Linked DNA regions of Arabidopsis thaliana. The protein of the gene in region 1 interacts with the protein of each later gene in a pairwise test. Each region holds a gene or a part of one and is shown on either strand. Other genes may lie near its edges. The genes, in order: AT4G33920, AT2G24400, AT3G12830 and AT1G79130.

Region 1 (4,777 bases):
TAGTTTAATGATCAGATCTCGTTGACCAGTTTGTCATTTTCTTCACTGGTCAACAAATACAAAAAAATGCGCCGAATTTATCCTTTTTTTTGGTTGAAGTTTGGTTGCGTAGAGTGGTTTAAGTTTTGGTTCGATGGAACTTGAACGTTTTTGTGATTTGAATTAGGTGGGCTTCTTTTGAGTTGTTTTGCTTCATTCAGGCTGTCGATAATGACTTGGAATCGATCTTAGAATGTAAGGTGGATATGTAGTCCAACATTGAATTGTGTTTATGGTTAAAAAGTAAAGAATGATTATTTATTAATTATATACAGTCAAATTAGAGAGTCTTAAGCCGAGATCAATACATTATCCAACGAAATTTCAAATGAGTTTATTTTCTTAACTAATAGTCTATATTCTTGCAACTTCTTTTTGATAACCAAATAAAATGTGTAACCATTCTACAAATGATTTTCATATAGAGATTTGAGTTTAGAAAAGAATAAGCAAGAAGAAGATTCAAGTAGCCTTTGTGTCGAGAAGAAGGTTCAAGGAGCTCTCTTTGTGGGCTATAGAACTGTTGTTTAAGAAAGAAGGTGACTCATTTAATGTTTGGTTCTTGGGGTTCACAGAGCATTGTTCACTGAAGAGAGATGTGATACTAGAGAGATTCTTAGTGAGCATTGACAGAAATAATAGTAGTACTAATTAAGTTTTTTTTTGTTTGATGAATCTTGTATGCATCGGTATAATATGAGTGGATATGCAAATGTTAAAAAAAATAAAATGAATGGATCTATATATGTTGAAAATCACCCTATGATCCATAACAACGATAAATACGCATCCATAATGTTATAAATGTAAAGGTAAACATCATGATCAAAAAAGTTCGACAACTTGGGCCAATGAATTTCCAGTTGCTTCCGCGTATATATATAAGTCCTTCCACGTCAATTTCTTAATCCCAAAATGCAAACCTTTTTATAACAACCAAATAAAAATGTGCCACTTGTAATTAAATATAAATTACTCCATAAGCAATAATATTCATCGTTTTAATAGTATGCTCTAGAACACAGCACACAAAGATTTGTTTTGACCAGAACATGTTTTTTTTCTTATACCGGAAACGGTAACGTGATAATAAAATTAGGTTAATAATAATATAGATACTAAGATGACTAGATTATTAGCAAGAAATTGTATTCAGTTGTTATCCGTCTTTCTTAGTTGACAAGCAAATATATCAGCTACACGTTGGCTACAGGTTACTCATCCTTACCCATTCATTATTCGCTCATTATAACAATTTCCCACTGATATATTCAAATACAAAATATATAAGACACAAAATAGAATTAATTTATTGCTATTTGCAGACGATGTAAACATTTTTGTAGACATGAACAATTTAATTGATTCTTTACTCATCGTAGACATGAATTTATATTTCAAAAGGGTCTACTATTTCTAAATAATATTCAAACATTGACTCTGTAAATCACATATAAATAAATATATATATTATACACTACATTAATATAATATCTCCTATTTCAAAAAGAAATAAAAGTAGCTGTTGAATTTAGATATTTTTTTGTTGGACCGAATCAGAATTTAAGTTTTTGAATTGTTCCAGAAGAAAGATATTTTAGTATAATATACGGCAATGACGTTTATGTTTGGGCCAAAACTTTGTCTATTTATTGAGAAAAATAAAGCTAAATGGAGAAGAATAACAAAAATAAACAACGCGTTGAAAAAAACTGCAAAAAAAAAGAGAAGGGGGAGGGCGAAATTAAAACAAAACGACGCGTAGTCTACGTAGCCTTCTAAGAAACGGCACAAGTACAAGTCATCTCTATCAATATTCTTCTTCTTCTTCCTCACGCGGTTTTCTTTTACCACCACCAACTCAACACACACACGAATCCCTTAAAACCGATCAGATCAAACAAAAACGAACGAATCAAAATTCAATAAAAAAAAACCTTTCGATTTCTCTCATCCAATCGAATCGAAAATCTTGTTATCTCTTTCTCTCTAACTCTACTGCACTCAGAATCTCTCTGTATAGAAAAACCCTAAGTAGGTTGTGATGTTGCGAGCTTTAGCACGGCCTCTCGAACGGTGTTTGGGAAGCAGAGCTAGTGGTGATGGTTTACTCTGGCAATCGGAATTGAGACCTCACGCTGGCGGTGATTATTCGATCGCGGTGGTTCAAGCCAATTCCAGGCTTGAAGATCAGAGTCAGGTTTTCACATCTTCTTCTGCTACTTACGTCGGTGTATACGATGGTCATGGTGGACCTGAAGCTTCTAGATTCGTTAACAGACATCTCTTTCCTTATATGCACAGTAAGTTATAATCCCACTCTTCCTTCCCTAAACTTGTTTTAGGATTCTTTCTTCTTTTGACTCTTTGACTACGTTTTTGATGGTCAAAACTTATGAGATCTCTATTACCCTGATCATTTCAATATTAAAAGATTCGAATTTTGCTATGAAGTTTTGGTCTTTGTGAACATGTTCAGGTTTGTAAATTGCCTCTTGAATTGATTTTGTAGTCATGTTCTTGTTAGTGAAATTTACAGGATTGGTTTTATGATTGCAGAATTTGCAAGAGAACATGGGGGATTATCTGTAGATGTTATCAAAAAGGCATTCAAAGAAACAGAAGAAGAGTTTTGTGGTATGGTTAAACGATCCCTTCCCATGAAACCGCAAATGGCTACTGTAGGATCTTGCTGTCTTGTTGGTGCAATCTCTAATGACACACTGTATGTTGCTAATCTTGGGGACTCGAGAGCCGTTCTTGGAAGCGTTGTTTCAGGGGTTGATAGTAATAAAGGTGCCGTAGCTGAACGGTTATCTACTGATCATAATGTTGCTGTTGAAGAAGTGAGAAAGGAGGTTAAGGCACTTAACCCTGATGACTCACAAATCGTCTTATACACACGTGGAGTTTGGCGGATTAAAGGCATTATTCAGGTATAACTTAGTTTTGCTTGCCTGCTTGTTAAATTGCGTGTGATTACATAGCATCTGTGATGAAGTTATAATATTTAAAAGGTGTAATCTGATGTTGTTTTTTCTTTTCTCTTTTCATTTATATAAATGGGGGCTTGCAATGTTCCAGGAATCCGTCACACGGGCTCCTGCAACGTTTCTTCCCCAGTGGATTTTGTGCTTTTCTAAGAATTCCCGGTAGTCAGAGCTATACATAATAATGAAGATACATGCTTTTTAGTTGCTTGTGACCTTTCCGTGAATGTTTGAGCTCGTTGTATATTAGTTAGCTAAATCGTTTTCATATACGCTTCTTTATAGGTATCGAGATCAATTGGGGATGTATACTTGAAAAAACCGGAGTATTACAGGGACCCGATTTTCCAGCGACATGGAAATCCCATTCCTTTGAGGAGACCCGCGATGACAGCCGAACCCTCCATTATAGTAAGGAAGCTTAAGCCACAGGACTTGTTTCTGATATTTGCATCAGATGGTCTCTGGGAACATCTTAGTGATGAAACAGCCGTAGAAATCGTCCTCAAACACCCAAGAACTGTAAGTTTTCCCTAAACTCAAGTTTGCTTTGTATCTTCACATTTATGTTAGCTACTTAGTTTATTTATTTATTAACTCTGTGTTCTACAGGGTATTGCCCGAAGACTTGTAAGAGCTGCTCTGGAAGAAGCGGCAAAGAAGAGAGAAATGAGATATGGAGATATAAAGAAAATAGCCAAAGGAATTCGACGACATTTCCATGACGACATAAGCGTTATTGTAGTTTATCTAGATCAAAACAAAACCAGTTCATCGAATAGTAAATTGGTGAAGCAAGGAGGTATCACCGCTCCACCGGATATCTACTCATTACACTCTGATGAAGCAGAGCAACGACGGTTACTCAATGTGTTATACTGACTGTTTGATTATGGTAAAATGGCTGCTTGGGAAAGATCCGAATAGGGAGAAAACTTGTTTACATATTTGTTTATTTGTTTTTCTACGAAGAACTGGTTTTTTTTTTTTTTCAATATTGGAGTTGGATTTGTATATTCTTTTACCAGCAAAGAAGGTCGAAACCCTTTAGTTTTTGGGCAAAGCAGTTTTGCTTTTGACACAAACAATACTTTTGTATGAAAATCTAGTGTGAAACCGTTGAGGACAACTCTTCATATATCAGATTGTTTTTTTTTATGACCTTGTATGGAGAGATTAGTATATTGAATTATTTGTCTATAATAACTAAATAAAAACATTATCGATCACAAACCAAAATAAGCCAACAAAATTCCAGATGTTGCCTAAATTTTGGAAAATATGCATGACAGACATTCGAAACTTCAGATCCAAATCAAACCGAAATTGAAATTTGTCAAATATCTAAACCGAATTGAACACGAGCGGTTTTTGAGAATATGAAATTGGGCAGAGCAATTCAAACTCAAAAATTCAACAATTCCAGAAGAACTTTCTCAGAAAAGTTTCGACGGAAGAAAAAGCAAAACGATGAACGTCACTCTTTTGGTCGCAGACGCCGTTTGGTCGAACATTGAATCAACCGGTTCAGGTACTTCACCATTTTACTACTTCTCTCTTTCCTTTTCCTTGTTTACGACATTTTATTCCGTTGAATTTTCCATCTTTTTCTGCAGTAACCGAAGAACAGCTCTCAATGTCAGTTCTCTCTTATACATAGCTGGGATTCTTTATTTTTCCCGAAAATATTTATTGATTTTTCTTCAGTCGTTTGGTATGATTAGGGTTTATCGATTTAATTTTGCAAA
Region 2 (3,960 bases), on another chromosome or scaffold:
TTGATTATTCTTAAAAAATGGGATTTCCTTGTCGTTTAACGTATAACCTCGACACCCATCTTTAGAGCAGAAAACTATTGAGTCAATGTCGTACACTCCCAACTGTTTTTATGATTCCAAGGCATATGGTTTGTTCTTGTTAATCTTCTGCTGGATCATGCTGTCTTTAAGTTTATAGAAACCTGCAATTCATTATTCTCGATATAAGGTTCAGGAGATAAGTGCACATGTATTAGGCGATTCGTTCTAGATGGTGTTAAATCTCAAGGTACAGATGTCATGTGGTGTTTTCCGTTTTATCAGATCTCTATGTTTTCTGTTTTGACTTTTGACTCTCATTAATCATTTTGGCAGAGAACTAACATGTAATGTGATTTTATGAACATCTTACTCTTCCTTTCTTGAATCCTGTTTGGTTTAGGGGATTGTAAAGTCAGTCCTTTTGATATTGCCGTACTCTTTTGAGATGAACGTATATGCATGTGATCACAATAATGTAGCTAGTTAGTTTATGTAAGAATTTTTCTGTGACTCTGCTATTAGCTTATTATATTACTAAGCATCCGTATTTTAGCTTTAGTTTTTGTAAGAGAAGCTTAGGATACCGTACTTTTGCCTTTGAATAGTTTAAAAACAACATTCCACTTGGTGATTAAAAGTACCATTCCGTAATTATTGTTATCCTTACATTATCATATTATTTTAAACCTCTGATTACTTTAACATAACTCTGCAACTTCCATTCACATGGTTGTTCCGGAAAGAACGCAAACTGCCCAAATAGAAACATGAACCATTCTTTCTATTCTTTTTTTGTTCTCTCTCTCTCTCTTCTTATTTCTTAATAGGCGTAGCATTTTGGCTTATTATGAGCTTGATTTCTGCTTAGAGTTAAACGACAAAGTGCAAATGTTTAATTCGTATGACTCATTATACCTCTAGTTGCATAAGGGTCTATCTGCTGAGGTTATAGATCAACTTCTATAGTATTCCAAACTAATAAAATCTTCGGTTACCATAAATTATCTTGCCTACGTGATATGTTTCTACTGACTTGTGCTGCAAATGCAGACGACTGGATTACAAAGGATCTATGAAAATTTGTGTAAAAGTTCAGATAGTGTTTTTGCTTGATTCACTTATTCAGTATTTGATTTTTTATTGTACCACGAGTCTACTGCATTTGTCATCAGGAATAGATGGTTAGATCAATGGGCTGGTGGGTTCTTGTGAGAAATTCCACCAGAGCAGAGAAATATCAAAGAGCCGTTTTAAGTTTTCATCAGTCAGAGGTAGTGCAACAAAAATTGAAATCAGTGCAGAGAAAGAATAAAGAGTCTCCAGGAACAGAGGTCCACATCACGGTTTCAATGATCTGTTTGTACATTCCACTATTTAGAAATCTCTCCCCTTACTCAGAATTAAGAAATTTTAAAGCACACAAATCCATATTCCTAGAGAAAAAGTGGGAATAAGCAGAATGGCTCAAATTAGCACAAGAGGAGGAAAAAGAAGATGCAGAAGCAAGCAATGAACAAAACTATCTGCACATTGGGCTGTTGTGAGGTTGGTGTGAAGGAGTCTTAGGACAGTCTGATGGATGCTGGTAACTCGTCTTATCATCTGCTGCTGCATTGAACTTACATTCCTGCTTAGCTGTTATTGGCGTCACCAGGTACCCTTCGTTCTTCTCCTCCATTATCTTCAATATGCTCTCAAAAACAGAAACTTCACAAGGAATCCTCAAGACACCGGCTTGTTGAAACCCGAACTCTTCTTCTGCCTCACGCAGAAGAACATAGAAAGCTTGATGGCTGAGGTACTCGGTTGGTATTGTGTACCTCTTCTTCTCTAACCCGACCGAAACAGCTAGATACCCTTTAGGCACAGCTGTTACATCTGTAAATGACAGTGTCCTCTTCAGAAACTTGATGCTCTTGCTTCCCCCGCCACTGCTATTGTTGTCTTCGTTGTTGTTGTTGGCTGCTTTTGATGCAATTGCTTGTTTTCGCCATTTCTTGAGAAGCTGTTGAAGCTTAACGATCTCTCTGATCTTGTTTGACTTCTTGGCTTCCATGGTGGAGATAGAAGACAAAAGACAAGAAGTTTGGTACTATGTTTTGTCTAGCGTCTGTCTCTTTCTATGTGTGTAGTGATTAGGACGTGGTGAATATTGAGAATCGGGGATATATAGAGGTGGTGACCACGGAATTCTGATTTAATTAGTTTTGTTTCTGCTTAAAATATTGTGCTAATCATATGCTTTGGTTTTTTTTAATGATTTAAACCAACTTGAATTTGTTGACAAGCAAAATTAAGCAGCTTGAACTTAGAAAATGATATTTAACATAACCTCAAATTTTGTCACCAAAATCAGACAGGCAAAGCTGGCTCAAGCATCGCTTAAATCCCTGTAAAACGCAACTATGTAATTAATATTGAGATATACTTGTTGCTTTCTGACTCTGATTTCATTCACTCGGCAGCATTCTCGTGCTCTCGGCTGCTGTTGCCAAATCTTATGGTATCTTTCTCAAAAAGCTCATAGTACCGTTGTGTCTCCATCAGACTTTCATTGATGTAAGTCTTATAGGTACTACTAAGATCCATAATATGTAAGGCCTCACTTGCTTCTTTCCCATCATACCATATGGCTCTTTCTCTTTTTCCACCTCCCGGTACTGAATAACAGCATGTTGCTTGCTACAAAATGTGTGATTAGTAGGAATGTCGGATCTTTCTCTCACGTCCAAAGAGGTAGCAAATTTGGTAATGAATGCAAAGTGTCTCTTTCAGTGGTTCACCATCCTTAAAATGATAAAGTCTCCATCTTTCTTTGGGTTTTCTATTATCTACGGGATTATTGAAGAGGAGTGTGATACCTTTGTATATGTTGGTTTCTTCAGCAAGTTTCCTCGATAGCTCAAAACATCGCACACCATGTTTTTCAATCATCAAACATGAATGAAGTAGCAGCTATCGAGATTCTCTCTCTCGTCCGGTACTTAGCCAACACCCTTCCTCCGAATCTCTGAATGTCAGATTGATGTCTCCTGGCACTTGGAGGATAATCTAAGCAGACATGGATGGGTCCTAATCGATCAAGATAGTATCTTCCATATAGGTCTCAAGAGTTTGAGAAGATGTCTTTCACCGTTTCATGCGGAAGTTGACTCCTTACTTTAAGCAATTGAATGCATGATCGTAATTAGTGATATATTTGGAGTTTTCGCTTCCGGTTACTCTGATATGATATCTTTCCTCGACAACTATAACGAATGACCAATATTTGTAATAGAGATAGTCTATTTTCGATCTCTCATTTGTTTCTTTCTTTTTTTAACATTACATTTTTTCATAGAATTCTAATACTCACAGATTGTTTAATGATTTTTTCTTACAAAAAGTATCATTCAGATAATTTAATAAAAATGGTATCGCAGTGCCTTTATTTACCTTTAGGAGTAAGTTTTCTTTCTTCCGATATCCTAAATTGTTCGACACGTGTCAATCACGAAACCACAACCAAAAAACCTTGTCGTCTTCTCCAATCATAAAAAAAAAAAAAAAACAGTGTCCCAATTTGATCAAACAAAACAAATTCATAAATTCGGAGAAGAGAACGAAAAATCTTCTTGTTGGCAAATCTCCGGCGAGATCATCTTTCTTATTTTGTTCCACGGAAGTTTCAGACATGGCGGCCGCGAAACTCGTGGCGTTGTTACTTCTTCTCGCCTTGGTTTTCAATTTCACCACTTGTATCTTTGCCGACGCTGGAATCGACGGCGGCGATGAACCGAAACTTAGATCCGACGGCGGTGATATCGAATTGGATCAGCTTAATGCTAAAATCCGTGCCCTAGGTTACACTCAGAACTTTACAGTTACTTCAATTTTACTTCTATGTCAATCGTGAAAATTTGCTATGGCTTGTGTGAATTTCTCAAATTAATTTTTGTT
Region 3 (3,439 bases), on another chromosome or scaffold:
TCAAAGAAATTATAAAATGGGAAAAGATGTATATAATCAAGTCACAAAACTGAATGTGTATTAATAGATTTGGGCAATATCAATTTATAAAGTCACCTGATCATAAACCTATGATTAATTTGTCATGATTCATGGCTTGAGTGCATTTTGCATAGTCGGATGCTTCTTCTAGAGGTCACAACTTACAAGTAATCTTTTTGTTTTGTGGCAAAGACAAGTAATCTATTATCAACATTAATAGGTATAGCGAATCGTCACTTATGAAGTTTGATTCAATCGAGCATGCAGCTATATATTTTGTAGTATATGAATTAATTATATCACTTATATCCTTGAATGGCTTGTGTTTATATTGTCATGATGGTGATAGATTTTTATGTTTACACAATGAAAACGAAAATTTGTTAAAATTTAATAAGTTTTTTTTGGCTATTTTTTTAATTAGTTATGATCTAAAATAATAGACAGTACAGTGATTAATCTTTGAAAAATATATTACATAATGGAAACTTACAAGTAACTTACATCTTATTTTAGTTTTCAATGATGGTTACGTGAGGATATGAATATGACCAGAAGAAAGCTAAATGAATATTGAAGTCTTTTAAGTCGTTGAGGGTGAGTATGGACTATTTGAATAATCTATACGTACTGGTTCAAAAAGAATTCATAATATTTACACAAATGGTTCATATCTAATCACTTGGTCCAAATTCTAGAAGCCTTTTATGTCATTTTCTTGGGGTCAACAGAAGTTGAAGCTCCACATTTTGTTTTGTAATATTTCCATCCAGAATATTTAGTTTGTATAATTGTATTTGATTTATGAAATTTAAAATCCAGCCTATATAGTAGACTTTGTAACCAGATTCTGAAGGCATCATTTATTCCTATGGGGATTTAAGACTTAGGCCATATGATAGATCACATATTCAATAAAAACCATGAACATTGTTACGAGTATGAAACCATATATTTAAATGGCTATATACGCTATCTTACAATATAAATTTGTATGCAATTAACTATTTCCATATACAAAATTAACTAACTTTTCCACACTTCATCCATATTTAATTTCTAGCTTATTATTTAATATATTGAAAATATAATTATTAACGAGGGGATCTTTTGATAAAAAAAAACGAGGGGATCTATCTTTCTCTACACCTTATATTTTGAGTAGGATTAAAGAAAGAAATGTAAAAATTGGATATGTAAAAATTTTCCAAAGTGGAATTGGATATCCAGTCTTAGTTGAAGTAGGATAATAGATGATTAGATGAAATGATATTAACTACATGTACATGATATAGGATTACAAAGTATATGGATTAATCTAAACAAAGATATATAACCCTTTTTTTTAATTTGCTTGAATGAAAATTGTATTTTGAACATTATATTGGCCTCTTGTAAATTATAATCAGTTTACCATGAATAATGTTATTATTTTCCTGATAACTACTTGTAATTAATTTTACAACATCATTAAGATATATTTTGGGTTGCTCATGAACCTCGTGTATCTATTACTAACAAGAAAAAAACTATATCTAATCTTTCAATAAATTGGTAGAATAACCAAGGTAAATTAATTGCTATTTTAATTCCAATTATGATCAGAAAATACAATAATATCATTATACTCAAAAAAGATTATGATAATGCGGGGATATATATTGTTAATGGAAATCCAAACAGTTATCTAAGAGAATAAAAAAATCTTAAAAAAATAATCAAAGATTTACATCAAATGAATATGATATTTTATCATATTATATATTTTTAGGATTTTATATATTTTTCAAAGTCAGTGGAAAATTACGAGTAAGTGTGTGTACCTGGCAAGTACTCCTTCCCCGTACCTACTTTATCAAATACACATTCCCCAAAATACCCTCGACTCAATATAAAATCCAAAACCTTCCCTCACTCTCTCCTTCACAAAATTCTCATTGATTCTCTCTCGAATTCTCAAACATCCGTTTTCAGTACCAATCACCAAAAGTTTCTCTCTTCTCTCTCTCAAAGTCACAACACGAAGACGATGAAGCAACTAATCCGTCGTCTCTCTCGCGTCGCTGATTCCGCTCAATACAGTCTCCTCCGTTCCGATTCACAGCGACCTAGCCGCCGTTCCGAATCCTTCCTCCGTTCTTCGGTGACTCGCCGCTCAAAGAAGCAAACCTCCTCTGTTCCCGAAGGACACGTACCGGTCTACGTAGGTGACGAGATGGAGAGGTTCGTCGTTAGCGCGGAGCTACTTAACCATCCGGTTTTCATCGGTTTACTAAACCGATCTGCTCAAGAGTATGGTTACGAGCAAAAAGGAGTTCTACAAATCCCTTGCCATGTCCTTGTCTTCGAACGAATCATGGAATCGCTTCGTCTTGGACTTCCGGTACCGATTGATGTTCAGGATCTAATCGGTGACGGGACTATTTGAAGAAGAAGCTTTTATTGGAAGGAATCTTGGTAGTTAGAGAAGTTTTTTTTTCTTCTAGATCTGGTTGTTTTTGTTCAGATACTACTGAGTCATCATACTTCGTCGTCGTGTCGATGTAAATAGGTATATAATTTTTCCAGGATCCAAAAGTGGAAGAGGAGACGCATTTAGGGATTTTCTTTCTCTTTGTTGTTTGCAAATTTTCTAATTTTTTCGCCGGTTTTAAAAATCGGTTTGAAATTCTTGTGAAGTTTTTTTATATGGAAAATTTGCATCAGTTTGGATCTCTTTAATTTCTGGGTTTATTTGACATGATTACAGTTTTTTTTGTTCAAGTTAAACAAAAAGAGGATTTTGATGTTTCACCGAGATTATCGGCAGGGTAAATCCGTCAATGCGATACATCAAGGGGATATGATAAACTGTAATCTGTGGCCGTTACTATAATATTTTTAACCCGATACTCAAGTAGTTATCTGTTACCTTTAGCTTCTCTAGAAGAGAGTATATCTTTTGGTAAGTAATGCCAAAGATTCATAATAAAATATAGAAAAAAATAATTGAAATTCATAAAAAAAAAACTAGTGAAACCATGTGGGTTTGCATCTGTAGTTACATTCTTTCAGATCCAAAACACAAGCTTGATTCCAAGCCCAATACAGTATTATATAGACCACAAATATTGAAACTAACATTTGTTTCTGGCGTTCCAGTGTCTATCTAACCATAATTGAATGAGCTATGAATTCGGTTAACATGGTGAATCTTCAGCTAGTAGACAAATGAGTTGGTTTTAAAAGGGCAAATACTAACACTTTTATCATTATATATGGGATCTCACTTTATTTGCACCGTTGGCACTTATCTAATTCACACATTACACATAATGGTTTAGACATATTTTTAGGTAACCTTCGTTTTATGTTTAATCAGCTTTACTTATATAGAAACACCACCACATGTTTATATATGCGACCCGAGTGAGCAACA
Region 4 (3,209 bases), on another chromosome or scaffold:
TCTCTAATTCGATGATGATCCAATTAGTAGACATTGAAGACGTGAAAAGCCGATGATGATCATCTCTGCAACATGATCCGTAAGAGTTAGATTGATATCGGAGCGGAAAGCATCGTTTCATTGATTGATCGGCGTGGAAAGTATCGTTGATCCAATCTCGTAAAGCCGATAGGATTCATGTAGAGCCACTCTCGGCAACAAATCCATCCGGTTATTTTCCTTGTTAAGAAGATCTCAACGGATTCATCTCAGAACCTACCCGTAAGAGATGGATCGTCTCGTTTCGTATATTGATTTATATCCTCTGTTGTGCATTTGATATCATAACAGTCAAACCCTAATTCCATATGGATCACCACCGCAACACTTTCACCGGCGGCTAATGATGCGAGGAAGAAAGTGGCAAAAGAGGGACAGTGAAACCGAAGACTATATAGCAGCTTTGGAGTTTCGATGGTTCAACGATTCAGCAAATCCAGGTTTTTGGCTTTCCCAATTTTTTTTTATTAATTAATTTTGATTTTAAGGGTATTTTTGGCAATATATTTCAAATAAACATTTTAAATATAAAAATATTTTTTTAAAAAAAAGATTTAAATTAAAGTGGTAATTTAAAACTTTAAACTTTAAGAAAATAATTGATAAAATTTAACTAAAACAATGTTAATTTCATTATTAATTTTTGAAAGTTAGTTTAAGTGTTAAATTTTAAAAATATCGAAAACTAACCGCGCCTAGGCATCCCGTCCTTAGTTGGTCCGTAAGTTTTGTGGTGTTCGAAGTTCGGCATGGTTTTCACGTAATATAGATTTAACACTTAAACTCATTTTTAAAAAATAATAATAATTTTCACTAAAAAAAATTAGAACAATTTTAAAATAACTGATAAATTTTAACTAAAACCATGTTAATTTTACAGTTTACTTTTTAAAAATAAGTTTAAGTGTTAATTTTGAAAACGTCGAAAACTAACCACGCCTAGACATCCCTTTCAAGCTCGTGAATACTCATTTCCATCTCATGGAGTTTCTTCCTCAATTCGACCACCTCTTCCTCCAAATTCGACACTTTACAGATAATCGCCTCTTCGCGAGATCCAGTTGCTCGAAAGAATCCGTCGGAATTATCGATAGAATCTCAATAGGGAGCTCAAAATCCGATCGACCTTCTTTGACTATTCCAAAAATCTCGACATCTCTTACGTGAATCTTTTTAGGGTTTGATGGAAAAGACACAAAGAAGATTAGGAATCTAAGAATTTTTCTCACTAATGATTATTTGTCTTCTATTTAATTTGGCTACAAGCTTTGTTTCTTGTTCTCCCACGTTTAAACACTCTTTTCCCTCCAAAAAAAGTCAAAGATGAACATTAATTTTGTGTTCGTTTACTTTCTTATGAAATCTAGTCAAAGAAGAATATTAATTCCAGAAATACAATTAAATAAATTATGATACAAAAACCATCTATCAATATTTATATTTTTGTTATTTTGCTAAATTATACTCTTTTTCTTTTATATATATATGAAAATATATATACATGGAAAGCAAATAAAAAGTAAATTAATAAATACTACGTCTTTTTCTTATCCACTCGTCTCTGTGTATTTATATGTTAATTTACCATCAAACGGGAAAATTACGTATTCATGGTAAGAAATAGATTAATAAATACAACGGATTTTTATCTACATAGTCTCTTGGTTTATTCTGTACATTTCATCATACATAAAAAAGTCTAAAATTAATTTGTACAATAATCAAAATTTGATTTTAGCAATCCACATTTGTTAACAATTACCCTTACTATTCTTATTTGTAATTTGACTAATGTAAGTGAGGAAAGTTTTGAAAATAAACCAAATTTAGAGAATTTCTCATATTGCATAATCAAAATTAGGTAGTTCTTTCAATTGTTAAATTGACCATGACTCATTATGTTAACACATATATGTATGAAATAAATTAAATACCATTTTTGTGTCATCTCAAAATATAATAATACTTAATATACACATTTCTGATAAGCTTAATGTGAGTCCACACCTCTCTCCCATATTTATGTCTCTCTGTCTCTAGCATTTTTGGCTGTCTAGGATCAAAGATGAAGCCTCTGATTCGACGTCTGTCACGAATCGCAGACTCATCCTCCTGCAACCGAAATCGCAGCGGCGATATCCATCACCCGACGTCAACGTACTCCTCTTCAGTTTTCTTGGTCAAGCGAGCAACCGTCGCGTCGAGTGTTCCTTCCGGTCACGTTCCCGTCAACGTAGGCGAAGATAAGGAGAGGTTCGTGGTGAGTGCAGAGCTGCTGAATCATCCTGTTTTCGTTGGATTGCTGAATCGATCAGCTCAAGAATACGGATACACTCAGAAAGGAGTTCTTCATATTCCTTGTAACGTATTCGTGTTCGAGCAGGTTGTAGAGTCTCTCCGATCTGGCATCGCTGATGATACATCGGAGCTCATTGCATCGTTATCTGGTGAAGATGTATCTACAGAGTAGATGATGATGATTCTGTTTTTTTTTTGTTCTTCGATCTTCTCCTTTTTTATTTGAGTGATCGGAGAAATTCGTCTTGATGATTTGGATATGAAAATTGTTTTTTCGATTTTATCTCAAAATTATCAATTTAATTTGTACTGTGAAATAAAATTGAAGTGACAAAATACAAGTTATTTCACGTACCGTACTACGGATCATCATCAACTATATAATAATAATAATTATTTTAAATTTGAAGTCAATATGAATTATATATCCATGATATCGTCCCAACACCTAACATTTAATTGATTGAAAAGTTCAGATATATGATGCGATGTGAGTCTTGCGTGGATAATACACTATGAAAAGATGTAAATCCACTATAATGATTACACATATTTTTTATTGAATTTTTGTACTTATTAATTGAAGACCTATGATAATTCGAAAAAAATATAGTATAAAGTAGCAAATATCTTGTAGTAACGACGAGAGACTTATAGTTATAGGTGTATTAAAATGGGGTCTAGAACAAAAGGTCTCAACATGGCCGTATCTTCTTGTACCGTTGTACGGCTGGACTTTTTTTTTTTGTGGGGAACAATTTGCTGTTCACAGCGTACAACATACATTAGCTGAGATCTCCATCTCTATTTTTATAACAAAGTAAACGGTTTGTGGCGAACTGTTAGTGGATTAGAGGATGATTTGCGTATCT

The links.
Region 2: the proteins of AT4G33920 (region 1) and AT2G24400 interact in a two-hybrid assay, tested with the Arabidopsis thaliana proteins (one large-scale study listed by BioGRID).
Region 3: the proteins of AT4G33920 (region 1) and AT3G12830 interact in a two-hybrid assay, tested with the Arabidopsis thaliana proteins (one large-scale study listed by BioGRID).
Region 4: the proteins of AT4G33920 (region 1) and AT1G79130 interact in a two-hybrid assay, tested with the Arabidopsis thaliana proteins (one large-scale study listed by BioGRID).

What each region holds. Positions count from the first base shown.
Region 1 is NC_003075.7:16,258,793-16,263,569, forward strand, and holds AT4G33920 (Protein phosphatase 2C family protein), read left to right. Parts: upstream 1-1,715; 5' UTR 1,716-2,083; coding exon 2,084-2,342; exon of another isoform or gene 2,343-2,588; coding exon of another isoform or gene 2,589-2,598; coding exon 2,599-2,975; intron 2,976-3,314; coding exon 3,315-3,551; intron 3,552-3,641; coding exon 3,642-3,911; 3' UTR 3,912-4,262; downstream 4,263-4,777. Other genes in the region: SSN2 (zinc finger SWIM domain protein), read left to right, coding at 4,500-4,560, 4,646-4,667. UniProt on the Arabidopsis thaliana protein: May dephosphorylate and repress plasma membrane H(+)-ATPases (PM H(+)-ATPases, e.g. AHA1 and AHA2), thus influencing negatively plant growth and fitness.
Region 2 is NC_003071.7:10,376,453-10,380,412, forward strand, and holds AT2G24400 (SAUR-like auxin-responsive protein family), read right to left. Parts: upstream 2,194-3,960; 5' UTR 2,078-2,193; coding exon 1,541-2,077; 3' UTR 504-1,540; downstream 1-503. Other genes in the region: AT2G24410 (SMAD/FHA domain protein), read right to left, coding at 2,719-2,955; AT2G24420 (DNA repair ATPase-like protein), read left to right, coding at 3,695-3,863.
Region 3 is NC_003074.8:4,078,127-4,081,565, reverse strand, and holds AT3G12830 (SAUR-like auxin-responsive protein family), read left to right. Parts: upstream 1-1,938; 5' UTR 1,939-2,050; coding exon 2,051-2,449; 3' UTR 2,450-2,915; downstream 2,916-3,439. UniProt on the Arabidopsis thaliana protein: Provide a mechanistic link between auxin and plasma membrane H(+)-ATPases (PM H(+)-ATPases, e.g.
Region 4 is NC_003070.9:29,769,215-29,772,423, forward strand, and holds AT1G79130 (SAUR-like auxin-responsive protein family), read left to right. Parts: upstream 1-2,003; 5' UTR 2,004-2,104; coding exon 2,105-2,509; 3' UTR 2,510-2,673; downstream 2,674-3,209. UniProt on the Arabidopsis thaliana protein: Provide a mechanistic link between auxin and plasma membrane H(+)-ATPases (PM H(+)-ATPases, e.g.